Mus musculus: one gene and its partners. The protein of the gene in region 6 interacts with the protein of the main gene of each other region in a pairwise test. Links are inferred from orthologs where the notes say so. Each region holds a gene or a part of one and is shown on either strand. Other genes may lie near its edges. The genes, in order: Adgrg7, Apod, Adrb2, Oprm1, Pgrmc2, Vapa and Zbtb22.

What was found.
Region 1: the proteins of Vapa (region 6) and Adgrg7 interact in binary tests that used the Homo sapiens proteins (3 or more experiments, as listed by UniProt). The two-hybrid records come from large-scale screens. The link is inferred for Mus musculus from reciprocal best matches to the Homo sapiens genes VAPA and ADGRG7.
Region 2: the proteins of Vapa (region 6) and Apod interact in binary tests that used the Homo sapiens proteins (3 or more experiments, as listed by UniProt). The two-hybrid records come from large-scale screens. The link is inferred for Mus musculus from reciprocal best matches to the Homo sapiens genes VAPA and APOD.
Region 3: the proteins of Vapa (region 6) and Adrb2 interact in a protein complementation assay, tested with the Homo sapiens proteins (2 studies listed by BioGRID and IntAct, with this or other methods). The link is inferred for Mus musculus from reciprocal best matches to the Homo sapiens genes VAPA and ADRB2.
Region 4: the proteins of Vapa (region 6) and Oprm1 interact in binary tests that used the Homo sapiens proteins (3 or more experiments, as listed by UniProt). The link is inferred for Mus musculus from reciprocal best matches to the Homo sapiens genes VAPA and OPRM1.
Region 5: the proteins of Vapa (region 6) and Pgrmc2 interact in binary tests that used the Homo sapiens proteins (3 or more experiments, as listed by UniProt). The link is inferred for Mus musculus from reciprocal best matches to the Homo sapiens genes VAPA and PGRMC2.
Region 7: the proteins of Vapa (region 6) and Zbtb22 interact in binary tests that used the Homo sapiens proteins (3 or more experiments, as listed by UniProt). The two-hybrid records come from large-scale screens. The link is inferred for Mus musculus from reciprocal best matches to the Homo sapiens genes VAPA and ZBTB22.

The regions. Positions count from the first base shown.
Region 1 is NC_000082.6:56,792,682-56,797,581, forward strand, and holds the start of Adgrg7 (adhesion G-protein coupled receptor G7 precursor), read right to left. Parts: upstream 3,178-4,900; 5' UTR 2,981-3,177; coding exon 2,866-2,980; intron 1-2,865. UniProt on the Homo sapiens protein: Orphan receptor.
Region 2 is NC_000082.6:31,301,309-31,304,808, forward strand, and holds part of Apod (apolipoprotein D precursor), read right to left. Parts: intron 2,224-3,500; coding exon 2,102-2,223; intron 1-2,101. UniProt on the Homo sapiens protein: APOD occurs in the macromolecular complex with lecithin-cholesterol acyltransferase. It is probably involved in the transport and binding of bilin. Appears to be able to transport a variety of ligands in a number of different contexts.
Region 3 is NC_000084.6:62,176,719-62,181,466, forward strand, and holds Adrb2 (beta-2 adrenergic receptor), read right to left. Parts: upstream 3,264-4,748; 5' UTR 3,035-3,263; coding exon 1,778-3,034; 3' UTR 995-1,777; downstream 1-994. Other genes in the region: Gm9949 (uncharacterized protein LOC225609), read left to right, coding at 3,327-3,885. UniProt on the Homo sapiens protein: Beta-adrenergic receptors mediate the catecholamine-induced activation of adenylate cyclase through the action of G proteins. The beta-2-adrenergic receptor binds epinephrine with an approximately 30-fold greater affinity than it does norepinephrine.
Region 4 is NC_000076.6:6,829,683-6,833,880, reverse strand, and holds part of Oprm1 (mu-type opioid receptor), read right to left. Parts: intron 3,905-4,198; coding exon 3,384-3,904; coding exon of another isoform or gene 3,369-3,383; exon of another isoform or gene 3,242-3,368; intron 1,365-3,241; coding exon of another isoform or gene 1,152-1,364; exon of another isoform or gene 413-1,151; intron 1-412. UniProt on the Homo sapiens protein: Receptor for endogenous opioids such as beta-endorphin and endomorphin. Receptor for natural and synthetic opioids including morphine, heroin, DAMGO, fentanyl, etorphine, buprenorphin and methadone.
Region 5 is NC_000069.6:41,079,884-41,084,563, forward strand, and holds the start of Pgrmc2 (membrane-associated progesterone receptor component 2), read right to left. Parts: upstream 3,164-4,680; 5' UTR 3,112-3,163; coding exon 2,712-3,111; intron 1-2,711. UniProt on the Homo sapiens protein: Required for the maintenance of uterine histoarchitecture and normal female reproductive lifespan. May serve as a universal non-classical progesterone receptor in the uterus.
Region 6 is NC_000083.6:65,579,176-65,582,876, reverse strand, and holds the end of Vapa (vesicle-associated membrane protein-associated protein A), read left to right. Parts: intron 1-123; coding exon 124-297; intron 298-2,029; coding exon 2,030-2,188; 3' UTR 2,189-2,824; downstream 2,825-3,701. UniProt on the Homo sapiens protein: Endoplasmic reticulum (ER)-anchored protein that mediates the formation of contact sites between the ER and endosomes via interaction with FFAT motif-containing proteins such as STARD3 or WDR44.
Region 7 is NC_000083.6:33,914,591-33,919,268, reverse strand, and holds the start of Zbtb22 (zinc finger and BTB domain-containing protein 22), read right to left. Parts: upstream 3,094-4,678; 5' UTR 2,996-3,093; intron 2,453-2,995; 5' UTR 2,387-2,452; coding exon 470-2,386; 3' UTR 1-469. Other genes in the region: Daxx (death domain-associated protein 6), read right to left, coding at 3,867-3,926. UniProt on the Homo sapiens protein: May be involved in transcriptional regulation.

The DNA of each region.
Region 1 (4,900 bases), on a different chromosome or scaffold from region 6:
TATAGGTGGAACAACATTATGAACTAACCAGTACCCTGGAGCTCTTGACTCTAGCTGCATATGTATCAAAAGATGGCCTATTAGGCCATCACTGGGAAGAGAGTCCCATTGGACTTGCAAACTTTATATGCCCCAGTACAGGGGAACGCCAGGGCCAAAAAGTGGGAGTAGGTGTGTTGGGGAGTGGGGGACTTTTGGATAGCACTGGAAATGTAAATGAGGAAAATACCTAATAAAAATTTTTTTAAAGGAATTGTAAGGTATAGAAAAATTAAGTATAAAAACTAATTAATATTCACTCTGTGGCCAGATAAAATTTTTTCAAAACAGAAGTTGGAAAATTTCCATTTCTTCTGTGTTTTTTTTTCCTTTAAACAGTCTTATTCTGCTCAGTGTGGCCTTGAACTCCATCGATCCCGAGCCTCAGCCTTCTGAATGTTACTGAAACTGTGAAATGGAAGGTTTTTTCTTCTGTTTTTCACAAATAAGTTATCACTTTTTGTGAAAAATACATTGTTTGTTGAAATGAATTTTGAATATAGTAAATTAACTTGGACATAACTTAATGTATATGTGCTTATGTGCTTTTTCCTAAATAACTTATTTATAGTTAGCCAGGAGTGTGGGGTCATGCCTGAAAACCCAGCACAATGAGTATGATGTCATCTGGGATACAAATTGTGAGTTCCAGGACAATGCAAACTCTAAAATAAGATCTTAAAAACAAGCAAAAAAGGCTTTCACAGATAGATCAATGTCTCTGAGATATGCATGAACTGTGTATCTAAAATTTTTTTAAATTTAAAGATAACTTATAAGTAAGTAAGGAAACAACGAGAAGATATTCCATAATGACATTAGTAGAACGAAGGGAGATGTGCAGGAAAGAGGTGAAATACCCAGAAGAAGTTAACTAAAAGGAAGGAAGTGGAATAGAACGGAATAAAGCAGATACAAACAGAACTAAATAAAGATAAACAGCTAAAGCACACCCCAAATAGAATTTACAAGGCACAGACACAGCAAACAGCAAAAAGTGTCAGTCTTCATCCTTTCTATTTGTTAGTGATAGTGACGACCGTCTAATTTTCTGTTGGCTTTACCCTAAAGCTGAGGAATATCCCTTATGTAAAGAGCTCTGATAAACTAACACCAGGTGCAAAGCTAGACTTTCTGAGGAGCTGATATGTTACACTCTGAGAAGCAGAACTTTTAATACACTTTACTTCCTTCAAAGGCCTCCAGCAGCTTGGAGGTGTGCCCACACTTAAGCAGTTCTCCTCCAGCAGCTTGGAGGTGTGCCCACACTTAAGCAGTCCCCCTACGCCTTTGACTAACTTGCACTTTCTGTCCTCTCTTCAATATTGTTCCTCATGTTGGATTTGTACTTTGTCCTTGTAATGGTTGGATTTAATGGTGTCATTTCTAAGTCACATGTTTCCCTTTGAAAACAGAAATCATTATGAATGCAACAAGAAGGAAGACATTTCTCAAACGTACATCCTTTAAAGGAGATCTTACAAGTTTAATGCGCGTAACAGTGAGAGAGACTCTTTACAGTTTTTCCTTAAACCTGAAAGTGTTTTTACAAACGTTAATGTTTTTAATGTTATTCTTTTGTCCTGTTTAATTTCTTACTCAAGTTCTCTAAATGTTGACAACACAGTATTCTCTGAATTCTATTCTTTTTGGGTAATGTAGGAATGGCTCCATTCTATGCTACCTCTCCTGTACCAGCCCATATCAAACATTTGTTCTCAGCATGGGATTCTGCAACCTGGCACCATTGCAGGGCAGTTCTCTGCCTTCCTTGAGGGCAGACTTCTCCTTAATGGTACTAGTCACCTCTAGTCACTCAGTTCCACATGTTCTACAAATCATCTTGAATCCCTTTCTAGCAGTGGTTCTCAACCTTCTCAACACTGCAACCCTTTAATCCAGTTTCTCCTGTTGTGGTGACCCCAAGCCATAAATTATTCCATTGCTACTTCATAACTGAATGTCGCTACTGTTGTGAATTGAAATGTTGTCAGACATTCTTAAGTGCCCATGAAAGGGTCATTTGCCACCCAAAGGGGTCACAACACACAGATTGAAAACCAGTGCTTTATAAGGAATCTCCAGAGGCAAAGGGGTGCAGTGTTAGAATCATTAAACATGTATTTTTGCGGTCTCAGGGGCTTTACTTTAACACCATCACTTTACATGTGACCCTGCTTCTGTCCGTACTTCCTCCATGAGGTCTGGAACACAGCAAGAAACTTACAAACACGTGTGGAGCCAGCAGGAAAATAACCTTTAAATTCATTTTAATTTTTTCATCTTTAACTAATTTTCTACACCTGCAAAATGGGAAACTTGAACGTAAACCTAAGTTCATTTCACCACTCTGGTGCTACGGTCTCTAAGCTTCCTTCTTGAGATGAATTTCTATTCTGTACATGGTTTTTGGGGGGAGTCCGAGTTCACAACTATTTACCTTTATAGGATTTAGCTCAGTAAACCCAAATACACATTGTTATACTTTCTATTGTTCTTCATTCTATCAACTCCAAAATTAAAATAGTGCAAAGAAGCCAATTCAAAACTCACTCTTCACCCTGCTTATTCACAAAACACACACACACACACACACACACACACACACACACACATACACACACACACACGTTCTATGTATAAAGCTGTCCACTGGTCATCAACGGACTGCGGTCTTACAATTCTTAAGTTGTGTTGTGGAAGGCAGGCATCTCCTGGACAAGGCACTTCCCTGGCACTGAAATATCAGGTAGCAGAGTCAGAGAATCAATGCCATCCCCCAACACCCACTCTCTGTCTCAGTAGATTATAGCAGGGTGACATTACCTCTGTTGATCCTTATGACCATCCTCCAGATGCCGAGTCCCAGAACAATGCCTGTCAGTAGCCCACACACAATAGCCACCAGTACCCGGACATTGCAGGAACGACAGGAACGCATGGTGAAGCCAAAACACTGCACGAACAGAGATAGTTATAAAACATGAAAAGAATTCTTCCCTTCAGTGGTCTGTCTGACAGGTGATCTCATGGTTTAAGAGTTTTGAAGTTAATTCAGAGTAATGAAGTTGGAATCACCAAAGAGAAGGTGGGTTTCTGCGTGCAGTATGCTCATTCTTCACCGAGGGAGATCAAGAGACAAGGGTTCTCAGAAAAGGAAACTAACTCAGGGCAATAAAGGAGGGGCGGGATTAGCCTTGAGGGTCAAGGAAGGAGGCAAGCTATCAGAACCCAAAGAGGAAGCCAGGAAGGCAGTGGATCCCTCTGGTTATCTACAGATCAGTCTCCTGTACTTTGGTCTTAAGGGACTTCAGCAAGTGCTTCAGGATAGTCAAACACCCTCTTGGATAGGGAAACATTGTTGTCAAGGAAAGGACAAACTGCAATAGCCACATAAGATTTCACTCTTGCATTTCCTTAAGGAGCCTAAATTCTAACAGTCACAATTGGTGATTGAGTATATTGACTTGGGAAGAATTATACAAAGCACTAAAACAGAGTTATAATTCATCTATTATGAATTACATTATGTGCCCACGTTCATGTGTTAGAGTCTTAACCCAAAGCACCCACAATGCAGCCTTGATTAAAGATAAGTTTGAACTCAGGACCTCTGGAAGAGCAGTCAGTGCTCTTAACCACTGAGCCGTTTCTCCAGTCCAGTTGGTGTCTTTATAAGAGATAATCTGGGCACCAATGTGCACAGAGGAGCAATGTCTAAGGAAATAAAGGGACAATACAACCAAATGGCAAAGAACTACAGCAAAAAGCTTAGATTATAGTCTTCCTCCAGAGTCCTAGGAACCAACTACAATGACATCTTGGTTTAAAACAGTAATTCTCAACTTGTGGGTCCTGACCCCTTTGTGGGGGGTGGGGTGGGTGGGGTGTCAACTGACCCTTTCACAGGGATTGCATATCAGATATCCTGCATATCAGCTTTTTACAGTACAATTCATAACAGTAGTAAAACTACAGTTATGAAGTAGCAATGAAAAACTTTTATAGTTGGAGGTCACCACACCATATACATTCCTGTTCTTTAAGCCACAAAGTTTGTAGTACTTTTTCACAGCAATCTAATCACAAACTGCTGTTTCTCTGAAGTTGCAGCTGTGACCCTGGGGATCCCGCCTTACTCTTCCCTGCCCCTCCCTAGTCTCGAATGAAGGTGCTAATGAGCACCCATGTGGTTGAAGTGCAGGTTCGGGTGGATGAATCAGTGGAAGGTTCCTCTGCTCATCTAAGACCCAGGATGATAAAGTGCCTTCAATTGTGTCAGGACCCTCACAGGCAGGAACAAGCTCTCAAGCACTCCCGCTGCCCCAGGGTGAAAAACCAGGGTGTAACTCGTGATAAGACAGATCAGATTTGTTAATGATAACAAAACAAGGTGCTACAGAGTACTCTTCTGGGAGTATTAGACATAGATTTATAAAATAAATTTTACATCTAAACTGATCATCTGTTTACCCCTCAAAATGATGTGTTATTCCCCAATTCTCAATAATACTTCCTAAAGTACAACTCAGGGGGGATATTAACATAAAGTTCTAATTTTACCTTATCCTAGAGCTTCAGAAAAACACATTAATATGTCACAAAATGAAAGAGTTTAAAGACTGCTACAGAAGAAAAAAAACAAATAAATCTATGTTCATTGTCTGTTGTGAATATGTGATATTTATTCTTATGTGTCTTTATTATCTACCCAAAACGGCAAGAGTAGGGTACATAAAAAATTATTCGTGGAAGTCCAAAGGATTTAGGTACAAGGAATTTAAAAACCATTATACCTTTTCTGTGGTAAGTATTTTTCAATTAGTATAACTTATTGTACATATTATGTTTTTCAATATTA
Region 2 (3,500 bases), on a different chromosome or scaffold from region 6:
CAAAAATCCCATTGTTAGGTCTCAAACCTGGGACAAAAGGCTGAGGTGCCTACTTAACATATCAAAGGGAACTTGGCCTCCAGGTTCTCCCAGCGTCCCTCAGTCTCTATCAGTTCTAGAGTCCTGGCAGGCATACCCTGCCCCTTACCCAAACTTCCCTAGCCCGGGGAGAAGGGCCCTTTCCCCAGCTGCCCTTCCTTATATAATACAGTCATTTTGGTTAACCCACCTCTGGTTCCCTTCTATCTCTTCTCCCTTCCCTCCTTACAGGGCTCAGGCTCATATCCACAATGGACTCTCCTACATGTCTCTATGTCTCTGCCTCTGGCTATGGTCTTCCTTTTATCTACAATAAACTTTCTCCTCCACCATATGCAGGAGCAAGTCTCTCTCTCTCTCTCTCTCTCTCTCTCTCTCTCTCTCTCTCTCTTTCTCTCTCTTTCTCTCTCTTCTCATTTATCCATGAACACAGGACAGGCAAAGCCTCAGAGAAGAGGACAGAGAAGGGATGTGCCTAGACATCAGAATACTACTCTTCCAGAGGTGGCAAAGGAGCTGCCTGCCCATTGGTCCTCAAGCAGGGCAACCATGAGACCAAAGTATGTGTGAGGCAGTCGGGTAGGTTAGTGTTGTATGATTGGCGGTGAGGGAGGCGCTAAAATCCAGTTCCTTAGCAGGTCTCCCCATTTCCCCTCTCCTGGGTTCAAATCTAGGCTTCATGCTGTATCAGTTATATGGCCCTTGAACAAGCTGCTTAACCTCTTTGTCCATACCAACGTTTTCTCGCCCATGAGGTTTATAATAGTATCTACTTTTGCTACATCATGGGGATTAGGTAAATACATTTTCAGGGAGGCCCAAGTACAGGGGTAGCGAGTGCCTTGCATATAGGAATTACTTAGATGCGGTCGTTGGTGCTGCAAGCTTTGTTGGTAGAGGCTAAGCAAGTAGGACCTCATCCTGAGTCTAAGTCTGTTCTCCAGAGTGTACAGATATGGATCGACTGCCAATGTACCTAGTGACAGAAGTGCGAACTTCCAAAAGAGATCCTGTTGACATAAGCTAGAGAGTACATGTATCTGTTCGGGTACCTGATGCTTGCTTAGCCAAAAAAAAAAAAAAAGAGAGAAGGTGACTGGGCCTGGCAATGTGTTTCATTTGGTAGAGACTTGCTTAGTATGCAAAAAAGCTCTGGGTTCAACCATCAGTACTACACAACAAGGCAGGGTGGTGCACATTTGTCATCCGGGCACTGAGGAGGATCAGAAATTCCAGGACCGCCAGGAAGTGGTGGCGCACACCTTTAATCCCAGCACTTGGGAGGCAAAGGCAGGGGGATTTCTGAGTTCGAGGCCAGCCTGGTCTATAGAGTGAGTTCCAGGACCACCAGGGCTACAGAGAAACCCTGTCTCAAAAAAACAAAAACAAACAAACAAACAAAAGAAATCCCAGGACCTTGGCTATACAGTATGTTGGAAGCCAGCCTGGGCTACACACGATCCTGTCTCAAAATAAGAAAAGAAGGGGGGCTGGTGAGATGGCTCAGCGGGTAAGAGCACCCGACTGCTCTTCTGAAGGTCCTGAGTTCAAGTCCCAGCAACCACATGGTGGCTCACAACCATCCTTAAGGAGATCTGACTGGTGTGTCTGAAGACAGCTGCAGTGTACTTACATATAATAAATAAATAAATATTTAAAAAAAAAAAAAAAGAAAAAAGAAAAGAAGGGGGCGGGGTTCCTAACAGGGAAGCTGGCTGGAGGTGAACAAATTGCCACGGGACAGGTTGAGCCCCCAGTTCACAGAAGTATTTGGCAAAACTTGATGCTCTCTGTGAGTAGATGGACAGAAAGGGTTTCTCTCTCAGTTTAGAGGCCAGGCTACAAGAGTCTCCATCTTAGAAAGAGAGCAGGGGCGCTGACTGGTATTCTCGACTCGCTATTGCCTCTCTCAGTGTCTGGTATTCAGTAGGTGCTCAGCAGTGGTTAAAGGGAACACATGCATCCGGATCATCCTGCCTAGTTTGAGTAGCTCACACCCTCTCCGTGCCCCTGCCTGCTGGGAGCACAAAACAAGGCCATCCGGGCAGGCATGCGCACTCACCTCAGCTCCTTGTTTAGCACTTCGATGTTTCCGTTCTCCATCAGCGAGTAGTTGGCTTGAATGCAGTTTCCTTTCTCAAAGCTCGCTGGGATCTTCTCAATTTCGTACCATCTTCCAAGATACTGCACAGACAACAACAAGCAGAGGCAAAACCCAAGGGCTCTCTAGGGACCTTGCTGACTCGTCTCCATTGTTGCCTTAGAAGCAGAGCCCTTTCCAGGGGAAACCAGGCCAAATGGACTGCAGCATCATTCCCAGACAACTAGGCAAGATACTGTTTCAAATGAGAATAAATGATGCGGATGTGCGGGCAATGATTGTATGTCACGTTCTATTCCTAAGGGGCTCGTTATTTGGATATGTTCTCAGAGTTCTCTTTAGTCAGAACTCGTGTGAAATTCCAGCCTCTGTGAAAGGAAAGGTTTGTGTGGTCGATGGAGAATACCTTCTCCCTCCAACAGCTGATAACTCTACGGGGCATTTTGACTTTTGTGTAACTCAGACATGCTGACTGTGGGGCACTTCTGTTTGGAGTTAGTTACTGTACCAATCCATAACCTCCGCAGAGGGCAGTTTGGAAATATTGAGCAAAACTAAAAATACACGTTCTCTTAGGCCAGCAATTTGATTTCTGGGAATGTTCTCCTGTTGTAAAGAAATGGTGTGTAAGTATAAGGTTATTTGTTGCAGGTCTGTCTGTAACAATAAAAGGCAGGAAACAATCTAGAGAGGAGTTGGGGAAATACATGATAGTGTATCTCTCTGATGACATCTTATACACCTCCTGTTAAAAAGTTATATGCAATTATCTCAAAGGTTATCTAAAGAATAAAGAACATTAATAGTGTCAGGGGTTGAATTAGGGGTGGAGAGGCTGTCTCTGTCTTGAACTCTGTTGCCTGCCTTTGGCTCCCTTTCCCTAGCTGAGATGCCTTGTCTGGCCTCAGTGATGAGACTTGATGTGCCAGGGTAGGTTGGTGGTGGGTACTCTCCCTTCTCCTTAGAGAGGGGGAGGGAGGAAAAGGAGAAAGAAGGCAGGACGGGACAGAGAGGAAGGAGAGGGGCTGTGATTGGGATGTAAAGTAAATAAATTAAAAAAAAATTTTTTTTAAAGAATAAAGAGCAGCCAGGCAGTGGTGGTACACGCCTTTAATCCCAGCACTTGGGAGGCAGAGGCAGGCGGATCTCTGAGTTTGAGGCCAGCTTGGTCTACAGAGTGAGTTCCAGGACAGCCAGGGCTACACAGAGAAACCCTGTCTTGGGGGAAAAAAAAAAGAATAAAGAGCAAAGAGTCAGGTCTGAAGTGAGATATATGCTTAAGCTGCCTTTGATGTAACAAGGAAAAGCTTATTGTATGGGCTTTCTGTTGCTACTGTGATGAGCCATAAGCTTTAACCAG
Region 3 (4,748 bases), on a different chromosome or scaffold from region 6:
CCTCACCTCTACTGATAAACCCTCCCAAATGACTCCGTGCATGAGCCTAAAACCTCAACTTCTTCTGGTAACTACCTGGGCAGCTGGAAGGCAAGTTTAGAAGGCACCATGAGGAAGAAGAAAGAGGAGGGGCTGAGGGGCTGTCACAACTGAGTAAACTGGGAAAAACCCCTCTCCTAGGTGTCAAAAATAGAACCTTTGTAGTAATGATTTAGGTTTGCAAAGTCTACAGCAGGCTTTCTACTAAGCAGTACTTTACCCTTAGGGGTAAGAGGTCGCGGCTGAAGTTGTTCTTGGCAATTATTTGTAAACTTGAGGGGGGGTGCTACGCGGCTGAAGTTGTTCTTGGCAATTATTTGTAAACTTGAGGGGGGGTGCTACCAGAATTTACTGGGTACAGAGCTGCCGCCAAATATCATATAATGCACGGGAATGCCAGACATGGGGAAGCCTGGTTTACACAGAAGTGCAGAGAATTGGGGAACAGAAGACACGGGACAGCAGACGGGAGCGAGGAGAGGCTGAAGGGCGTGAAGCATTCACCAGCTATGTTTTTTAAAGCTTTGCTCTCTCTCTCTCTCTGACCGAGGCCTTTGATTTCCCTCAGAATTTCTAGATGCTTGAACAGCTATTACACAGAACATCTTCCTCATCCTGAACACACCAAGCCCTGATGCAGTACAAAGGGCACTACTGTAAGAGACGGCAGTGATGTAAATATACACAGTTATTAAGCAAGTAAGGCTGGAAGGTGGGTGTCAGGAGCATATGGGGACAAAAACATATGCCCATAACTCTGTTTCCGTGAGTCAGGGTTTCTGGAGTGACAGCACAGAAGAGCAACTGTAGGACATACTGGGTTATGCTGTGAACAGGCAGGACTGCTTTGGGACACGAGTGAAGTTAGGGAAGGCACAGGTTTGCATCTGGAGCTCCGAAGACACACACGGAAGGGCTAGGCACGGTGCATGCCATTCTGGTACTCTTACACATTAAGCCACTCATCGGTCACGACACATAGTTTACCTGTGGTTTCCAGTGGGAGAGACAAGGACACTCCAGAGTCAAGAGGTTTTGAAGAAACGGGTGCAATGAAGTCATGGTTAAACAATTTATTTACTGTAAACTTTAGACTTTTCTCAGCAAAAAAAAAAAAAAAACCCAAAAAAACAAAAACAAAAACAAAACCCCAAAAAACAACAACAAACCAAAAACGAACCAAACAAACAAAAAAACAAAAACAAAAACAAAAACAAAACAACTGATGTTGTCCCTCAAATCCCTGCCTGCAACACTCCATTTGAGTAAATAAGTGGAGTGAGAGAGAAAGGGCCCATTGTCACAGCAGAAAGGTCCAAGACACAGGATATTTCAAGTCCAAGGGTACAGGAAGAAAACTCTCTCCTTTAGATATGGATTTCCAGCAGCAATATATATCATTCTTAATACTTGACCAGTGAGGTAGATACATGAAAACATCATCCAGACAGACAGACAGACAGACTCAGTCCTCCAGAACCAACACTCTTCAGACAGAAACCTTTAAGTTCCATACAAAGAGGAACTGAACTATACAAGAAAACAATAAGCACTCAAATACAGTTTCTCTCTCTTGTTTGCAGCTTAAAAAATAAAATAAAATTTAAAAAAAGGCAGAAGGATGTGCCTCCCCTTCTGCAAATCTCTATACAATTTTATTCTAAAGTTATTACACTCAAGTTAAATAGTCTGGTTAGTGTCCTGTCAAGGAGGGGTCTTAGAGAGTAGAAAGCCTGTATTACAGTGGCGAGTCATTTGTACTACAGTTCCTTCCTTGGGAGTCAACGCTAAGGCTAGGCACAGTACCTTGACAGTTCACAAAGCCTTCCATGCCTGGGGGATCCTCACACAGCAGTTCCTGTTCTCTCTCCTGCCCCAGCTGACAAGTGTTTGGCTCCCCTGTGTAGTCCGTTCTGCCGTTGCTATTGCTAGAGTAGCCGTTCCCATAGGTTTTCGAAGAAGACCTGCGAAGGCACAGAAGCTCTTGAAAGGCAATCCTGAAATCTGGACTCCGACAGTAGATAAGAGGATTGAAGGCAGAGTTGACGTAGCCCAACCAGTTAAGGAGGATGTAAACTTCCTTAGGGATGAGGTTGTCCCTGATAACGTGCACGATATTGACAATGAAGAAGGGCAGCCAGCAGAGGGTGAATGTGCCCATGATGATGCCTAAAGTCTTGAGGGCTTTGTGCTCTTTCAAGCAGAACTTGGAGGACCTTCGGAGTCCGTGGCCGCTCCGCCCATCCTGCTCCACCTGGCTGAGGTTTTGGGCGTGGAATCTTCCTTCAGATTTGTCTATCTTCTGCAGCTGCCTTTTGGCCACCTGGAAGACCCGGGAATAGACAAAGACCATCACCACCAGGGGCACGTAGAAAGACACAATCGAGGACGCGATGGCGTAGGCCTGGTTCGTGAAGAAGTCACAGCAAGTCTCCTCGGTGTAACAATCGATAGCTTTCTTGTGGGTGGCACGGTACCAGTGCATCTGGATAGGCAAAAAGGAGGTAAGGCCAGATACAATCCATACCATCAGGATGACCACTCGGGCCTTATTCTTGGTCAGCAGGCTCTGGTACTTGAAGGGCGATGTGATAGCAACATAGCGATCCACTGCAATCACGCACAGGGTCTCGATGCTGGCTGTGACGCACAACACATCAATGGAAGTCCAGAACTCGCACCAGAAGTTGCCAAAATTCCACATTTTCATAAGGATGTGACTGGCCCCAAACGGCACCACCGCTAGGCCCATGACTAGATCAGCACACGCCAAGGAGATTATGAAGTAGTTGGTGACGGTTTGTAGTCGCTCGAACTTGGCAATGGCTGTGATGACCAGCACGTTGCCAAACACGATGGCCAGGACGATAACCGACATGAGGATGGCCATGCCCACAACCCACGCTTCGTCCCGTTCCTGAGTGACGTCGTGGTCTGGCGCTCGGCTTCCGTTGGGTGCCAGCAAGAAGTCGCTGTCGTTCCCGTGTGGCCCCATGGCTGGCAGGTTAGCAGGTGAGCGCACCGGCTTTCGGTGCCCAGGCGCTCTCAGCGGGTGCACCTCCGACGGGGCGCAGCCGGCCGGGGGCGGACTCCTGGAAGCTTCATTCAGCGGCCGTAGGTGGCTGTGCTGGGGTGCGTCCTGCACACTCAGCTCGTGGGTGCTCCGGGCTCGCGGTGCCTGCAGCCGCAGCCTGAATGCCTGAGAAGCAGCCTTGCAGTGCGCCCTGCCCGTTATGTGCACCAGACTTTAGGGGAATTGCCCAGTGACGTGCAACAACTTTGGGCCAATGGCACGGCCGGATGCCCGGAGGGGCGAGGCACCAAGGGCCAACCCTCCCAGCCTAGCCCGCCTCCTCCTGGGGTTAGCCCGGGCGGGGCCCAGCGGCTCCCCGGAGGCCAGGCCACCGCTCCCTTCCAGCTACCCTAGCTGGGGCACCAGAGAGAGAAATCTAGGGCTGCTGTGCAACCCGCCAACCAGGCGCTGTCTGGAGGTGCTACCTGTCCGTTCAGGTCACCTGTGCGGGCTGAGAGGTCTCTGGACGCCAGTAGCGCAGGGTGCGTTTTCTTTTAGGAACAGAAAGAGCAAGCTCACCCGGACACGCACACACAGGCACAAACGCACCCTGACGACCAGGACATGCTCAGACTTATGCCGAACCACAGCCACAGCCACGGAGACACACCCGCGCCCGCTCATTCTGGAGATGACAGCTGTCTCCTGGTCCAACAGAGAGGTGGCTGTAAACAAACCCAGGAACACCCAGAAGCAGGAGGAAAGAAACACACATAAGCGCTCCTGTGGAGACATGGAGTGCGGACCACTCAGACACCGGTGTCCACATCCAGGTACCACCCGCTTCTAGCACTCATAAGTGACACCCCATTCACAGACATCCAGTGTATCCCCTTTCAGTTATTTGGCAAGAGCACAGGAGATGACTCCAACAGCTACAGAGTTTCTCAGCACACTTTGTGAAAAAATATTTTTTTGGCATCCTCCCTCCTTGAGAACCGCACCAAGGCAGTAACTTCATCCTTCGCATTTCTTTAGACCTAGAAGTATACACATTTGGGTAGGGTTGGGAAGGTGTAATTCTTAATTCTTGGGAGTGTGGCATCATTTTCTTGTTATATGGCGGATATCTGGGGATGTGCTGAAAATAAAAATGCAAGTGCAACCATTTTCAGTTTTACAATTTAAAAAATTAAACTACATTATTTATGTTCTGTGCATGGGAGTCTTATCTCTACATTTGTCTGTGCACCACATTTGTGCCTGTTTTGGAGGTCAGGACAAAGCATCAGATTCCCTAGGACTGAATATACAGATAGTATCAGCTCACAAGCTGCCTTTGTGAGTGCTGGGAATTGAACCCTGGTTCTCTGGAAGACTAGCCAAAGCTCTTAAGCACTGAGCCGTCTTTCCAGTCTTCATAATTTTCTTTTCAAACAATTTCTTTAGTAACTCTGTTTTAACTATAAAAATATTAATTGTATTAATTGTATGTGTTGGCTGGGTAATTTGCTAATCTTTTAGGCTGTGTCAGTGAATGTGCCACCATTGGGCTATTTCTGCCTTTAACCTCGCTGCCCACCCCACAATTTCATATAATTCCCTATATTAAAAACATGTTTTGTGGAGTTCATTTTAAAACTACAGAAAAAAAAGGATAGTTGAGGATAGTTGTTCCTTCCCATTAAAAAAATTC
Region 4 (4,198 bases), on a different chromosome or scaffold from region 6:
CTCTGTGCTGTGTGGACATGGCCTCAGTGTCCATCTGTCAGAATACAGACACCCTGGAGAGGTTGGACATTGCATCTCTGATCTGCAAGGTAGGAAGTTGACTAATGTGCTTGATGTGTGACATATGGAATATGACAAATGTGTGTGTATATATATATATATATATGTATATACATATATATATACATATATATATGTGTGTATAGGTATAGATTTAGTCATAGATATAGATATAGATGATATAGATATAGATATAGATATAGATATAGATATAGATATAGATATAGATATAGATATAGATATAGATATAGATATAGATATAGATATAGATATAGATATAGATATAGATATAGATATAGATATAGATATAGATGAAAACATAAAGAGACAGAACATAAACATTGATAACCGGGACAAACTTCTAATACTTCTAACTAAAAACTTTCAATCACTCTAATCCAGTTAGCCTTGTTTCCTAAAAGGATGGCTCATATTCTAAACAAAGGAACGAATAAACATGAAACCTACAGTAACACACCACCTGCTAGTTAGATTCTCACTCTGAGGTAATCCCAATGATTCCCATTGGCAGAGCCATGTAGCCTGACTCTTCCTTCAGATCTGATTAGAATAGATGCCAGGAATGACCACCACAGGCTTTACTGTCGCTCCAGCCAGCCATTCTCATCTGACCACCTTAACCCCAAAGGAAGACACATCAGTGGAGATGGGTGAATAGGATCTTTGATTTCTGTTCATTTTCAATTATGTCAGGGCATCTTTTCTGCTTCTTTCTGCTTCTCTTCTTGGTCTAGCTCTCCCAGCTGGGCCTTTGGGAGGCCACCAGTTCCAGGCTAATGTGCTTTTCTGTTATCTGATGCTGACGCTGCTCCGCAGAGGCAGTGATAATGATAAGTGCTAATTGGATGTATTTTTAAAGCAAACCTTTTAGTTACTTAGGACAGAGCTTCTCCAATTATCTTCCCTTCTACTCTCTGGCTGTGCAAGATCCACACTGACATGCAAACACTGGGTGTGGAAGGGAGTCGAAGGCAGCGTTAGAGAATCTGAAGGGCAGCTATGTTTAAAACAGGGATGTGCTGGAATAGAGAGCTTGGGGCTCTGCTTCCATTAGAGGAAGGTCAGGTGGGTCAGGAAGGATAAGAAGGCCCCATGTGTCTTAGAGGAAGCAACCAAGCAGCCACGCCCCTGTGAGCCTGGGAGGGAGATCCAGCATGACACGTAGGGAGGGGAGGAAGAGCCCCAGCTTTTGTGTTCCTTTTCTTTTCTCTAATGAAAGTAAAATATTTCAATGCCCAAGATTTGAAGCTCAGTTTAGGGTAGATAGCTTCAAATTTCATTATCTAAAATGGGTTGGAGAAAAAAGGAAAAAAAAATTTAAATCCTTACTCTTTCAAAGTGATGGGCAAGAGTTTGAAAGCCCCTTAAAAAAAAAAAAAAAAAAGAGAGCTGCCTAGAAAAAGGAAAGGCTTATGTGTCTCGATGTGGATAACAACGAGTGGGGCATGGGGAGGAAGCAGCAGAGAAACCCATTTTTGCCTGGCTTTGATTTCTGAGCTGGAAGCAGGGAGATAAATTTGTTAATAATTGCCTTTGAGTTGGGAATGAATCTGCCACCATTACCACCATGTTCTCTAAGGGTGCTGGTCACATGTATTGCATTAGGCACACTTCCCATTTGGGTATGAGCATTCACGTCTTCTGAGGCAGATTCATCTAGGTTGTATTACATAAATCTGAGGTCAGTTAGACAGATTGAATGTAGGCTATGCTGGCTAGTCACAGTTGAGGATAAACAGAACAGTGAGAGAGGGCTGTGGTGGAGAGACAGCTAGCACCATGGTGGCCAAGGCCTCCCTCTGGCTGCTCCTCTGCAGGACTTGGTAGTGAATCCTTTTTATGTGACTCCTCCTAGCCTTGCCACTTGACAACGCAGAGTTTAGCCCAAGTATCATTTATTTACTCAAAGGAGGGTTGAGTTTCGACTCTGTGTTACTACAAAATTATATTCACAGTGATTTTTAGGTGTGGGAAGGATTTTGGAATATTTATTTAAACCAATATGAATAATTAAATCATATATGCACTGAGATTTAGGAAAGGTGTCGAATTATTGCAATGTGACCAATTAGGCAGTTTTACGGGTAAGAGATCTCCCCCTCTTTGTTCATTTCTTGTGTGGTTACACAACTGTGATTGAATCTTGGATCTTCTTGGGACTCTCCTGGGCATAGTAATACATGTCTAAACTTCTAATTAGTCTAAATCATTTCCAAATAGTATGGAGAGTGTTTAAAATTAATTTTAATATAGTAGTTAGGTAATATGCTGGCATTTGCTCTAGTGTTCAGACTCCAGAATCTACAAAACAAAGCCTTAATAAATATTAGAGATGGCCTATCAAATATATATATATGTATATATATATACATATTTATATATATACACACATATAAAACATGTACAAGTACAGCATATATGTGTGTGTGTATACATACATACATGTATATATATGGTCACTCATAATAACATATATATATATAACACATATATATTAACATATACATATATACACTTTTTTCTCGCTTGGGAATATCTTGTACCTATGACCACATTGGACAATGTTCTTTACAGATTTGGGGTGGGGTTTGCTTTTAAATAATAGGGATATTAGCAAGATATTTTGGATTATAGAAAGTTGCTGTGTGAATCAAGACTCCAAAGTGAGATTATTTCTAAAATGTACTAAAGCCATTTATTTTGCAAAGGAGACAAGGCTCTGAGGATAGTAACTTTCAGCAGCATAATATATTGTTACTTATAGTCTCCCCTCCCCCAGCCTGAAACCTGCTTGCTCAGGGGTGGAGCTTCCTGCTCATTCGTTCTGCCACGCCCACTGCTAGAACCTGCGGAGCCACACACGTGCACCTTTCTACTGGACCAGAGATTATTCGGCGGGAATCGGGTCCCCTCCCCCTTCCTTCATAACTAGTGTCGCAACAATAAAATTTGAGCCTTGATCAGAGTAACTGTCTTGGCTACATTCCTTTCTCTCGCCACCTAGCCCCTCTTCTCTTCCAGGTTTCCAAAATGCCTTTCCAGGCTAGAACCCAGGTTGTGGTCTGCTGGCCGGACACAACAGTTACTTACCAAACATCTAAATGAACTTACACACATACATCAAGCATATTTCTATGGCACATCTTCCTAACACTATGATCAGAATTTGGTCCCCTACTCCCTCTCTATTTTTAGGCTTGGCCTGGATTCTCCAGTAACCGACCTCCTTAAGGATCTAAATCTTAGACTGGTATCAGGTGCTGTGTTTTTATATGTTATACATAATTCTAGAAAGCACATACCTGGTGGTTAGTTCGATCCACTGTATTAGCCGTGGAGGGGTGTTCCCTAGTGTTTTGACGGATTCGAGCAGAGTTTTGCTGTTCGATTGTGGAGGAAGTTGGGATGCAGAACTCTCTAAAACATCGTTTGAAGTTTTCATCCAGGAACGCATAAAGAACTGGGTTCAGGCAGCTGTTTGTGTAACCCAAGGCAATGCAGAAGTGCCAGGAAACAGTCTGGAAAGTGGTTTCTGGAATCGTGATCAGTGCTTTGATGATGACATAGATGTGGATGGGGGTCCAGCAGACAATAAATACAGCCACGACCACCAGCACCATCCGGGTGATCCTGCGCAGGTTCCTGTCCTTTTCTTTGGAGCCCGACAGCATGCGGACACTCTTGAGTCGTAAGATCATCAGTCCATAACACACAGTGATGATGAGGACCGGCATGATGAAGGCGAAGATGAAGACACAGATTTTGAGCAGGTTCTCCCAGTACCATGTGGGATGAGAGAACGTGAGGGTGCAATCTATGGACCCTGGAAGGAAAGAAGTTTCAAGAAAAATTAGCAGCGACATTTAGTTATATCATCAGGTTTTAAAATTGCACCTTTGCCTCCTTTGCCTAGGTTGTTGCTTACAGATGGGTAAGAAAGGAAATAAAGAAATTAAGGGAGATTGATGTACAGGGAAGTTTCTTTCTTCTTTTCCTTCCCACATTTTCTATTTTTCTGCCCACTTGGATCACATTAAGATCTTATAAAGTGAGAAGTTTTGTACATTTCTTAATGAGTCAGACACTCTGTGGGATTTAAGCTGCTGTAAGATATAAC
Region 5 (4,680 bases), on a different chromosome or scaffold from region 6:
CTCTGTATGGGAAGAAATCAGAAAGGGGTAAAAAGACAAGACCAGTAACAGGATTCTCTGTAAGTTCAGCCCTGAAGCTCTCTACCACAAAGTATATAAACTTTGTGGTCAAACATATCTGGATTTCCCAGATTTATTTATGTGATCCAAGCCAGCTTACTTAAACCTCAGACTCATGTGTAAGGCAAATACTTTGCAGAAATGACAAATGCATGATCCAACCCATTCATTAGATCATTAGATGCTTAGGAACTGCAGTTTCCTACATGATCACACTATCTTTCCAAGCTGGCCAAGTACCTGACTATTAGAGTATAAAATACTATACTAACAACAAAGTCAATGCGTTCTGGCAAGCAGTCGGCAATGAACTACATTTAAAATATTGCCATTTTAATTTTAAGAACTGGAACTTTAAAGATACACAGCTGTAAGAGAATGTGTCCAGTATTATGGAGAAAAAAAAAAAAAACCCTCACAGAACAAACCTTAATCCTAAAACCTATCATTGCAGAATGGAATACACAGTGGTTGGAGAAAACAGTAAGCCTGCTAGCTCTTGGCTGAGTTTTTCAAATTACTAAGATTCTCAGGTAAGGAGAGCTGTAGGCTGAATTGTAACACCACAAAATTACTGCATTTATTTGAGGATAAAATGAAAGTTACAGGCAAATTTAAAATTTACATTTATATCCTAGCAAAACATATGGCATCAAGTCCCCTGGAAAGTACCTCAATACTTCCTATCCCTGAAAAACAAAGTAAGATCACGAGATGTTCTGGCTCCATTTAAGTTTGTCCGAATAATAAAACCTTCCAGATAGTCCTATTAGATTGTTTACTGATACCAGTAATAAAAGAACAAGGAGGTGGTTCTCTGTTCTTCTTGTTTTCAGACGGGTCTCACTATGCAGCCCCAAAAGGCAGAGACCTTACAGAGGCCTGCTTGCCTCACTCCAAGGCCTCCAGGATGGTTCTTCACTATTATCAGTGCTCAAGCCCAGGGACCCACTCTACAGCACACCTCTTAGTTTTCAACCTCTGCTGCGGTTGCCATGGAGACTGCCAAACTGACTCTTTCCGGATGTATAAGGACTGATAATGGGTCTTTTTACAAATACTCTAGACAATCTTTAACCACTGAACACACTTCAATCCAATGAGGGAAGTGTGTAACTTGGTACAAAATCTGTGCAAATTCTTCACTTTTAAAAGTTTATTTGACTTGGTCCATGTAAACAAGGTACTTGGGTCCTATTCTCTTGTTCCACATGCTCTTAAATTAAAAAAATAAAAAAGTACTAACCATGGGAGCTGATGTAAGTAAGGAGACATGATTTTTGTGTTTATATATCCAGAAGGAAATACACACACACACACACACACACACACACACACACACACACAAAGAGATTAACAGATCCAACATCAAATGCTTATTTGTGTTTCTTAGCTCTAATCCAATCAACAAACCAAAACACTCCTAAAATAGCATCCAACTGAGCATAGAAATTAGAAGCGTCTTCAGTGTCAATAAATCAATCAGGGGCAATAAGGAAATTAAAAGGAAACCTAGCTTAAAAGTTGGATGCATACCTTCCAATAAGGGGTCACTTTGGTCTCTAGCTTCATTCTTACAACTCACGCTCTCTCTTCTCCTCCCCCTCCCCTTCTGTCTTTAAAGTTTAATATTAAGCACTGCATAACCAGGCCGCACAATGTTGTTCAATTTTATGGGCTACCAACAGATACCCGGGGTCTGAAGTTTATTTGCACAATCTGCAATATAGATTACCACTACACTGCAAAAGGGCCTCTAACGGCAACTACCTTCCACGTAATTTTCTGAAAGTAAAGTTGTAAAACCTTCAGCACATGCAGGGCAGGGGGCGAGAAGTTCGACGCTTCTAGGTTCGTGCCCCCCCTCACCCCCCCAAGGCGTCTCATTCTGCTAAGGGAAAATACAATAATTTATTTTCAACGGGTATTTGAATACTTATTTTACTATTAGCAGAGAAAGAAGGAGAGGAGGGAAGGAGGGAGAGACTGAGAGAGTCGGAGACAAGAGACACGCCTGCCTCCTGGGCAGATGAGCTCCACCCCCTACACTCAGGGCCAATATCTTTGCCAGTCTTACTTATTAAGGTTTACGTTCTGGTCCGTCCTCATTTTACATACAGTTGTTAATCTTGGAAAGCATCTTGGAGCCCAAACCGACTTTTTAGAAAAAGAATGAAAACGAGTCCGGGGTGGTTGTGAAACCGAGCTCCAGGGCTTGGGACTTGAAACTACGTGTCCCTAGCCCTGACTCTCGGCAGACAAGTCCGGAGAAGGGAAAAAGTAGGCAAGTGTCAAACAGACAACCCAGAATAAGAAGAAAGCTGTCTTAACACTGGGCCAAAAACTTTGGATCGCCACTTTAGCCCTCTTGCCCCGACAAAGCCCAGAAATCAAAACGCTCCGAGGAAAGGTTGAACGCCAACGTGACTAGAGACAACTCTTAACAATTTTGAGAATTTCAGCCCCAGGAAAAGCTGCGAGGAGATACGGATTGGGAAAGGCAAGGAACGCCGAGCGCAGGTCTGTGGGGCGCCACTGAGCCCCCCACGACGCCCGCAGCTGGGGGCGTGCGCGGGGCTGCGGTCCAGGAGCGGGGCCGCGGCGGGGATAGGGTGTCCCGGATCCCCACCCCGACACCCCTCACTCCTCACCGGGGCCGTAGAACTTGCTGCCTTTGGTCACGTCGAAGACTTTCCCATTGACCGCGAGCAGGATGCGCGGCGTGCGCGCCCCGTCGTACTGGCGCAGCTGCTCCAGGCTGAAGTCCCGCTTCTTCATGCGCGGCAGCGTGGCGGCCGGGCTCTCCTCGCCCGCCCCGGGTCCCGAGCACAGACCACGCCGCCCCCAGCGCACCCACAGCCGGTAGGCCCCCAGCAGCACCAGCGCCACCAGCGCCACGTTCAGCAGCATCTCCCCGCCCGTCGCCAGCAGCGCCGCCACCCAACTGCTCCTCGCCGCCGTCGCTCCGGCGCCACCCGGGCTCCCGTCGCCGCCACTCTCCCCGCCGCTCCCCAGGGTGCTTAGCTTTACGTCCCCATCACCCGCCGCCATCACTGCCCGCCAGCGCCTTCCTCCTCCCGCCCCCTGCCCTCCCCAAGCCCGCGGCCCTGCCCACCAGGCGGCGCTCAGCCAATCACGTGAGGGGCTGGGGCGTGGCAGCGCCGGCTGCTTATTGGCTGTTGGCTGGGTAACGTTGTCTGGCTTCGCTCTCGCAGCTCGGGCTCTGGCTGGCAGCGCGCGCGGGCAACGCCCCGCCCACCTCGCCCCACACTTCCCTGCTCTCACAGCCCCAACGCTTTCAGCCTGGGGAGTGTAAGGGAAGGGCGGGGCTGAAGAAAAATAGAGTGTGCGTGGGGCGGGGGGGGGGTGGGCCGAGCCGGCTGTGCGCGTGCGTACTCGCGCGTATGGGCGGAGCGCCGTCAGGGCGCGTGCGCGGGCCCTGGGACGCCACGCGCTGGGCTCTTTTTAGCAACCCCTCCCTGCTGCGCGCGCGTGCGCCCAGAAGCGGCTTCTCTCTGAGACGGCTGGTTCGCGTCTGTGACGACGCACGGCGGAGGCCGCAATAGAGCGTGAGCTGCGGGGCCGCGTGTGAAGCTGGGCTTCGGGCACTAGCCCTAGCAGCGCCGGACACTCGGGTCCCGGCCCACGCTGCTTTTGGGCAGTGCTCCTAACAGGAGTCGGACGCAAGCTCTTCTGCGCTTTGCTCCCCGGCGGTGGGCGTGCGCGGATAAAGCAGCCTGTGGCTCTAGCTCCATAGCCTTGCTCGGGGCCTGCGAGAGTGCTTTCCAGTGTGAATTCCACCCATCTCGCGCCCTCAGCTAGTTTGACAGGCTTCTGTCACTCTGCTTGTGAGGAAGGAAGATGCATCCAGGGAATGGCCAGTTCCTTATAACTTTGAACAACCGGGGGTGGGGGACAGGTATAGACGAATGGTGGCAGCCTAGGGGTGAGCTACCCGGCATAAAGGAGCTGACTCAGAAAGGAGCTGACTCAGGCTTTGGCGTGAACAGTATAGAAAAGTAGGGATGGGCTTTTCTGGCTGCTATTAGTTTTTAGGTAACTGTCTTTAGTGTCAATGGACAGGAGAGCCCTACCCACTAACGGTACTGGTGATCATAACTTCCCTAGAGAGGTTTTAACACTCGAAAGGATGGGAAACCAGCCATTGTACATAAGACTCATCGTGGCTTTTTTTTGGGGGGGGGGGGGGGGAAGGTGCTGAAATTTTTTTCTGTAATGGATTATATATTTAGGTGCTGTGGGCCATAAGGTCTCTCTGTCCCAACTGTTACATAAATAATAGAGAATGAGCATGATAGTGTTTCTATTAAAAATGTACTTAGAGACACCGAAATTTGAATTTGTCATGAAATACCGTCTTTTTGTTTTTGAGACGGTTCAGTGTGTTCCAGATTGGCTTTGCACTTGATATGTAGATGAAGATGGCCATGAACTTGCATACCAGCAAGCACATTCCCTTGCCCATCATTATGACTTTTAAATCACTTAACGTTAAAGTCGGTTCAGCCCCTGAGTAGGTATAGAAACAGCCTGTAAGCTATATTTTGCCAATCCCAGTCTGAGAATTTTTTTTTTTTTGAGTCAGAGCTGTTGTCTTTA
Region 6 (3,701 bases):
ATTAGTTGAAACTTGTCATATTTTCATGACATTTTTAGAAGAGAAATATGTAGAACTTAGGTTTGTATTAGTTTAAAACCCATAAATTTTTTGTTAAAGATTCCCAATATCTTTGAAACACAGAATGATATGGAACCTAGCAAAGCTGTTCCACTGAATGCATCCAAACAAGACGGACCCCTGCCAAAACCACACAGTGTTTCACTCAATGATACGGAAACAAGGAAACTGATGGAAGAGTGCAAGCGACTCCAGGGAGAAATGATGAAGCTCTCAGAAGAAAACCGACACCTGAGAGTAAGTTTTTTGGGTTGAAAATGAGGTAATTGGAATGAAGGTATAAAGAATATGTTAGTATCTTTTAGCAATCTCTATGTTTATATTTAATCTTGTTGCCGGTTATTTTTTATTTATCTCGTTTGATCTTATAACTTAGAGCTAATTAGTGTAGGATTAAAGAAACGAGGTTTCTGAAAGCCTAGTAATGGAAATAAAATGGTCAGGTATATTTTAGTTAGTGTTAAGGGTTTTTATTTTTTTTTTTTTTTTTTTTTTTTTTTTTTTTTTGAGGAACTGGAGAGATGGCTCAGTGGTTAAGAGCACTTACTGCTCTTCTAGATGTCCGGAGTTCAATTCCCAGCAACCACATGGTGGTTCAAGAGCATCTATAATGGAATCCTATGCTCTCTTCTGGTGTGTCTGAAGACAGCAACAGTGTACTTAAATACATAAAATAAATCTTTTATGAAAAGATTTGTTTTTGACACTTGATAGGATTATTTCCCATTGGAAAGTGAAGATATCCCAAGTTGAAAATGCACCCAATACATAGACCTTTGACTGTCCTATCCTAGCTATCACATTAGCACTGCTAATTAGCAGCAGAGTGCTGGGCACCTTCTGAGAGGATCCCAGCACATGTCCCTAGCCCGGGGAAGACGAAGATTCACTGCACATTCCTAATGCCAAAAACAGTACATTAAACACTAGAGAGGCTGGCCATGCTGTGTAAGTGGTTGAGGAATGGTGTGAGGATAAAATAGTTTATTTTGAGGTAGTACAGATTCTCTAGTTAGGTTTTATAAACAGCATCTGATAACAGCCAGCCATATAGTTAAGAGGTATCTATAATTTCTCCAGGACCTTGTGACACATACTGTCACAAATAACCACCTGCTTTGAGAAACTATTGCTTTACTAGGAGAAGAAGCCAGGGCAAAGTCACATCTAAACTCAACCACAGGACTATCAGAAATGTAAACTCAGTATAAGTAGGGAGCAGTTCATTCTTTTACATGGAGCAGATAAGGTACTTAAACAAAAAGAAGCGATTGCCAGCAGGAGCCTCAGAGACGGGTTCCTGTACGTAGTCTAAATTACGTACAGTCTATGCTCCATGGTGACCCTTTATATATGTCCCTTGGGTTTGTTTTGCGCATATTAAAGACTCTAAACTACTCTGCTTTTCTCTAAATCTTGCAATATATTATCTATCTAAAAATAAATCCTTGTGTGCCTCCCATGTGGGTTTTCAGGTTTTACTGAGTCAGTAAACATGGAGTATAGGTGTGCTATTGATAGTTTCTTGCTGATGGCTGGAGTATAGGTGTGCTATTGATAGTTTCTTGCTGTTGGCTGGAGTATAAGTGTGCTATTGATAGTTTCTTGCTGATGGCTGTAGCCAATCCAAAATGCTGTAGGGCTCATTGGAAGTAAGCTTACATGTTTTATAGGAATACATTTCTCATTTTCAGTTTTAAAAGTCATTGTTATTGAGGTGTAATTTACATCACATAAATGTACTAATTTTAATTGTTTTAGCAGATTTATAGAATTATTCGGCTTTATTTATCGCTTTAGTACAGTTTTAGAATTTTTCCTAATTCCACAGGTTTCCAAGGTAGATGGGAATTTATTCTTGCTCCTCTTCAAAGCCATACACATGTACTGAATTCCTTTATGAACTTTTAGCTCTGCTACTCACCTGTGTGTGCTGTTTAAAAATCTTTGTTTTGTGTCTTTTCCCTAGGATGAAGGCCTAAGGCTCAGAAAGGTAGCACATTCGGATAAACCTGGATCCACCTCAGCCGTGTCCTTCAGAGATAATGTCACCAGTCCTCTTCCTTCTCTTCTGGTTGTAATTGCAGCCATTTTCATTGGATTCTTTCTAGGGAAATTCATCTTGTAGAGTGAAGCATGCAGAGTGCTGTTTCTTTTTTTTTTTTTTTTCTTCTCTCGACCAGAAAAAGATTTGTTTACCTACCATTTCATTGGTAGTATGGCCCGCGGTGACCATGGCCCGCGGTGACCAATTTTTTTTGTGTGTACAGCGTCATATAGGCTTTGCCTTTAATGATCTCTTACGGTTAGAAAACACAATAAAAACAAACTGTTCGGCTACTGGACAAATTGTATATTATCAGATCATCACTAGCAGATGTCAGTTGCACATTCAGTCCTTTATGAAATTCATAAATAAAGAATTGTTCTTTCTTTGTGGTTTTAATAAGAGTTCAAGAATTGTTCAGTCTTGTAAATGTTATTTTAATAATTCCTTTAAATTTTATCTGTTGCTGTTACCTCTTGAAATATGATTTATTTAGATTGCTAATCCCACTCATTCAGGAAATGCCAAGAGGTTTTCTGTGGGGGAAATGGTGCCTCTTACTGTGTAAATTTTCTCCTTTACCTTTGCTAATATCATGGCAGAATTTTTCTTATCCCTTGTGAGGCAGTTTGTTGACTGAGTTTTTCATCCTTACAATCCTGTCCCATGGTATTTAACATAAAAAAAATAAAACTGTTAACAGATTCTTGCTCGATAGCTTGTTTGTGTCTGTCATGTCATTTGTGCTGGGTTGGGCGTAGGGTCAGAGTGGGATGAGCCAGCATGTTCACTCTGCAGTGAACTTTATTGGACTTAATTGATTTGTTTGTTTGCTTTGGTTTGGTTTTTCGAGACAGGTTTTCTCTTTGTAGCCTTGGCAGTCCTGGAACTCACTCTGTAGACCAGGCTGGCCCTGAACTCAGAAATCCGCCTGCCTCTGCCTTCTGAGCACCAGGATTAAAGGCGTGCGCCGCTGCCACCCACCCAGTGGGCTGTATAATGTGTACTGTTACCTTGTATGAAACTCTTTCCAGTCCTTGATTATTTGTAATTTAAAGTCTTGAGACTGTTTTAAGAAATGACAAGATTTCAAGCCAACGTAGGTATTTTGGAACATCTTAATTGAGTTTATGAAATGTAAAGGTGCTGTGATCCTCATGAGTTTTGTGTGTGCCAGCTGCCTGTATTGTCTTCAGGGTCTCCAGGCTTGTTTTTGTTTGTTTGTTTGTTTTTAAAAACTGTCTTTTCAAGGAAGGCTTAATTCTCCTGTATTCTAAATACTCAGTGTACTAAATAGTTCTACTTTTTAATGTATTTAACAGCTGAAAAGAATTGGTTTTTTTCTGTTTTAGAAAATTAGTATTACTTTGCAAACCTTGGGTATTTACTTTTTGAAAAACAAACTAAGGTTAGTTGTGTGAAAATTACAAAACAAACACCTGTTACAAATGTACTGATGCTTCCCTGTAGTCTTAGGCCTTGGTGTATATCACATGTACTGAGATAAACTTAGAATCAGAAAGTACTGTTTTCAGCTGAGAATATAGTTCATTACATGGAGGTGAATTTTGTGTCATTAAAACTGGGTGTTGGT
Region 7 (4,678 bases), about 32 Mb from region 6:
CTCCCACCTTGTGTCCACCCACTTTCATGACAACCCAATTTGGGATCCCCATGGCAAGGGTGGGGTAGTACAGAAATAAGGGGCGTATCCTTCAAGAGGAGAAAGGACAATCGTTAAGACTCAAAGGCCTTGTCCCACAACACAAACACAGACTTCAGGCACAAACTAGCACAACCTGACTGTTGGCTCTGTGACTCTAGGATGCTCAAAAGGTCCCTTTTCCATTCCCCCACCTTGTTGGCACTACTCCGTGAAGGTGGGGCTCTGGTGTGCTCAGGGGAAAAGCAAAAACACAGCTTAGTTCCAGAGATCTCGAGGAAGGGGCTGAGGAATGGAACGGGCTGGCGACGGTGCAACCCACGCCCTTCTCTAGAATATATACAAGTCCACCGAGGTAAGGGAAGACTGTTTGGTGGGGGAAACCCCGGGAGCCATTGCTCTTAGACTAAGCTCCCCAATTGCCTGCTCTTCAGTGTGCTGCACCTCCACCCCCACTGAAATCCATCTCCACTTTGTGCACGCTGGGTGGGGACCAGACACGCCTATGGGACGGGGGCGTGGCCGAATTTGCCTCATCGCCACTGCCCCCACCCACTGTGGAAGACTCCCTCTTGGGTTGCAATGCTGGCCCAGAAGGTGTCCCGGGTCCAGGTCCAGGACCCGGTCCAGATCCGACCCCACCCACACCCATCCGGTGCCGACGCTCACAGTGTCCCCGGTGACGCATGAAACTGTCCCGCCACATGAACTTCTTGGCGCAGACACTGCATTCGTACGGCTTGAGGCCCGTGTGTGTCTTCATGTGCTCGGTCAGGTGGTGTTTCATCTTGAACTTTTTGTTGCACACGGGGCAGTCAAAGGGTCGCAGGTTGAGATGCATATTCACGTGCCGGTCCCGCATGCTCTTATGTGAGAAAGCCTTCCCACAGTGGCACAGAAAGATCTTATTCCCGTCGCTGTTGCCTGTCCCTCCAGGAGCCCCACCAGAGCCACTTGGTATGCCCAGCCCCACCGCAGAGGTGCCCCCGAGGGTCACTGCCCCGTGCTCAGCTGTGTTCCCTGGTGGCTGGCCTGGAGCCTGTGAAGAGGAGGATGGGAAAACCAAGATCTGGTTGCCCGGCACATCCAATGGAAGGAGGGGTCGTGGAGGGTGGGTGAGGGCATAGGAGGAAGGGGTGGGTCCTCCGGGGTCATCAAGCCCTGCCCCAGCGCCCCCACCCTCATAGGGGCCAAAGTCATTGGAGGATTCACAGAAGTTGACCTGCTCTTCCCCCTTGTCTGCAGGCTCGGTCAAGGTCCGAACATCACTGATACTGAGGGTAGCCTCGGGCTCTCCCCCTGCAGGAACCCCAGAGCCGCCTCCCATTTCTTCATCCTCATCATCCTCACAAGTCAACACCAGATCTTCCTCCTCTTCCTCATCTTCTAGATCGGGGTCTTGGTGGACCAGGGAGGCTGGTGCAGGGCAATTTCTAGCTTGCTTCACATACACCCAGTGTTTCTGTGGCACTGCACTGGCAGGCATGCAGTTAGACCTCCGGAGCCCAGCCCCGGGGGCCACGGCCCCTCTCCCATCCCCACCGTCATCGCATAGCTCATCGGCCTCCAGCAGCAACTTCCCGGAGGTGGTACCCGCACTGCCAACCACAGGGGCTGGGAACACCGGGCCACCATCCCGACGGTTCCCACTACCTGCTGCTGAGGCCACAAATGCATCCTGGGAGGTAGAGGAGAAATCAGTCGACTCCCGGGGGCTGAAGTAGTTGCTACTGCTGGGAGACTGATTCTCACTGGCCCTGCTGGAGGTATGGGAACGGACAGAGCCTACGGTGGCAGGGGCGACAGTGCCCCCATTCCCTGATGGGACACTGGCACAAGGGACAGAGACAGAGGGGGCTGCAGCAGTAGTGACAGTGGTTGTAGTGGCTGCGGATCGACCCTCCCGAAGGAGTTCAGTGCACTTATCCACAATGTGCCACATCTGGAGGACCGACCCCACTGTGAGGAAGTTGACAATGTCCGCAGCAGCCATGCTGAGGCGGCCCGTGTAAGCTGAGGCCAGGACAGTCTCAAAAGCGCCTGGGTCCATGACGCTTGGCAGGGAAATGGAAGTCATGCCTTTCAGTAGGACCTGGTCGTGGAAGTAAGGAGAGGAGGCAGCCAAGACGGCCCTGTGAGCGCGGAACTCCCGTCCCTGCACGCGGATGGACACATCACAGAGCTGACCCTGGAGCCGCTGCTGGTTGAGGGATTCCAGGAGGGCACTGGTCACCTCAGGGAAGGACACGTGTACCACTGCAGCTGCCGGCAGAGGCAGTGGCGGTGGAGCCAGTGACAGAGGCAGTGGGAGTGTGGCCCCACTGGGTGACAGAGCAGACGGCTCCATGCTGTGGAAGGAGATACCCCCCCAGCCACAGGAACAAAGGAAAGAAGAGGGCGGCCGGGGGGGTCTCTAGGGAAAAAAAAAAAAAAAGAATAACAGCATTTTGAAAGCATCACTGATTTTAAGCCATCACAGTATTTAAAAAAAAAAAACAGGTACCCCTGTCAACCCCATGGTACAGACGGGGCAACTGAGGCTCACTATTAAGTAAAACATCCAATCAAACACCACCAAACCGCAGCGCTAGCAAAGAAAGTATTCCAAGTTTAGTACTCTCGCTCCTGGGTCAGGAAATAGGGGGCTCTCAGGGAAGGGGCGTCTATCCTAGTCTACGGCTTCACTCTCAAAAGAACGCCCCCTCCTTGGTGTTGCGTACCGATTTTCTTGGGGTGAAGGGGTGTTCTCCACAGTTCTCAAGCTCCTCCCCCTAGAGCCCCCAGTTGATCCCGACCCCGCCCCTTCAGGACCCTCCAGGGCTCCGCCCCCTGGATCCCCGACCCCGCCTCGTGTTTGCCCCCGCCCCCGAACCCCGCCCCCCAGTCCTCCCCAATCGCGCCCTCGGACTGTTCCCCAGCCTGAGGGGGGCCCCCAGCCCCGCGCGCCCCCGCTTACCTGGCCGCGCGCCCCCGGGCCCCCCCCCTCACTCCGCGACCAGAGCCGCAGCCCCAGCCCCTCCCGCCGCCATCTTGTGCCGACTCCCTCCGCCTTCCGCCTCCACTCCGCCTCCCGGACCTGCGACCTTAAAGGCGCAGGCCAGCACCCCTCCTGTGCCGCTGGGCAAAAGTCGACCGACAGCGACACTTTTCCTTTAAAGAACCGGCGCTTCATTCCGCCTTAAAGGTACCAGGTCCCGTCTGCGGCTGAGGACTCAGGAATTGGTTTGGCCGAAACCTTCGTTCCCCTTTAATCCGACAAGCCTACCTTGTCTCATTGACCAGTGCTGGCTTCCGCTTCCCAGGCTCCACCCCGAGCTCTGGACGTTAGCTTGCTCGCGGGATCTAACAGCCCTTTTCCCAGCATATGAGAACCCCCCAAGCCCCGCCCCCCTCCTCCAGGCCTGGATTGGCCAAATCACCTTGAGTCAGCCCCTGATTGGCCTTTTCACTCAGACCGCTCAAAACGAGAGAGGAAAGCTGCTTAAGAAGGCTTCCGAAGCACTTATCTTTAAAAGTGCCTAGGGGAAGAAGGCTCAAGGAAGGGTTAAGGATGAGGACGCCCTAAAAAGAGAGCCAGGATAGAAAAGGCAGATCCAGGTGACAGCTGTCACAAGAGAAAAGGCAAAGTAAAGGAAAGAATACAATAAAAAGAAATTCATTGTTTATTAATGTGTCTGTGTAAAACTTAAAACATTTTGATTTTTTTTTTTTGTCAAAAGAAACACCATCAAAACGGGAGGAGCTCTGTCCATCTTTTACTCCATCATCTTCCAACAGCCATACAAAAAACCTTCTGGATGCAGGGAGCACGGGGAGCATGGGGCCTGCTAATCAGAGTCTGAAAGCACGATGATCTCCTCCGGGTCGCACTGTGTGGCCACACTGGTCTGCAGACAAGTCAGAGGAGAAAGAAGGGTGAGCCAGGCATGGCGGCTCACGCCTTTAGTCCGAACACTCAAGAGGCAGAGGCGGGCTGATATCCGAGTTTGGGGCCAGCCTGATCTACTACATACAGAGTTCTGGGACAGTCAGGGCTACATAGAAAGACCTTGTCTCAGAAACAAAACAAAGCAGGATGGAAGGCTGGAAGATGGCTCAGCCACTAAGCACGCAGCTGCTTTGCAGAAGACCCGAGTGTTGTATCCAGTCTCACATGGCGGCTCTCTGCCTTCTCCGTGACTCCAGATCTATAGGATCAGACGCCCTCTTCTGGCCTCCATGAGCACCAGACACAAATGTAGCACATAGGTATGCATGCCAACAAAACACCTATTTACATAAAATAAGTCTTTTTTGTTTTGTTTTACATGGTCTCACTATGTAACCTTGACTGTCACTGGGTAGACTAGACTGTGGCCTTGAAGTTAGAGAGACCTGTATGCCTCTGCCTCCTGGTTGATGGGGTTAAACCTAAACACACACACACACACACACACACACACACACACACACACAGCCAGTCTTTGAGACTTTGTGTGTTCTTTTTCCTCCCCTTTATCCGCCCCCATCACTAGATAGAAAAGAAAGGATAGACAGGAGAGACAGGATCTCTGATTCTAATGTCTCTCTTCCTGTTTGTTCTTTGAGCAAGACTACTAACAAACCACAACCAACCCCTGTACTACCACCAACCATGCTT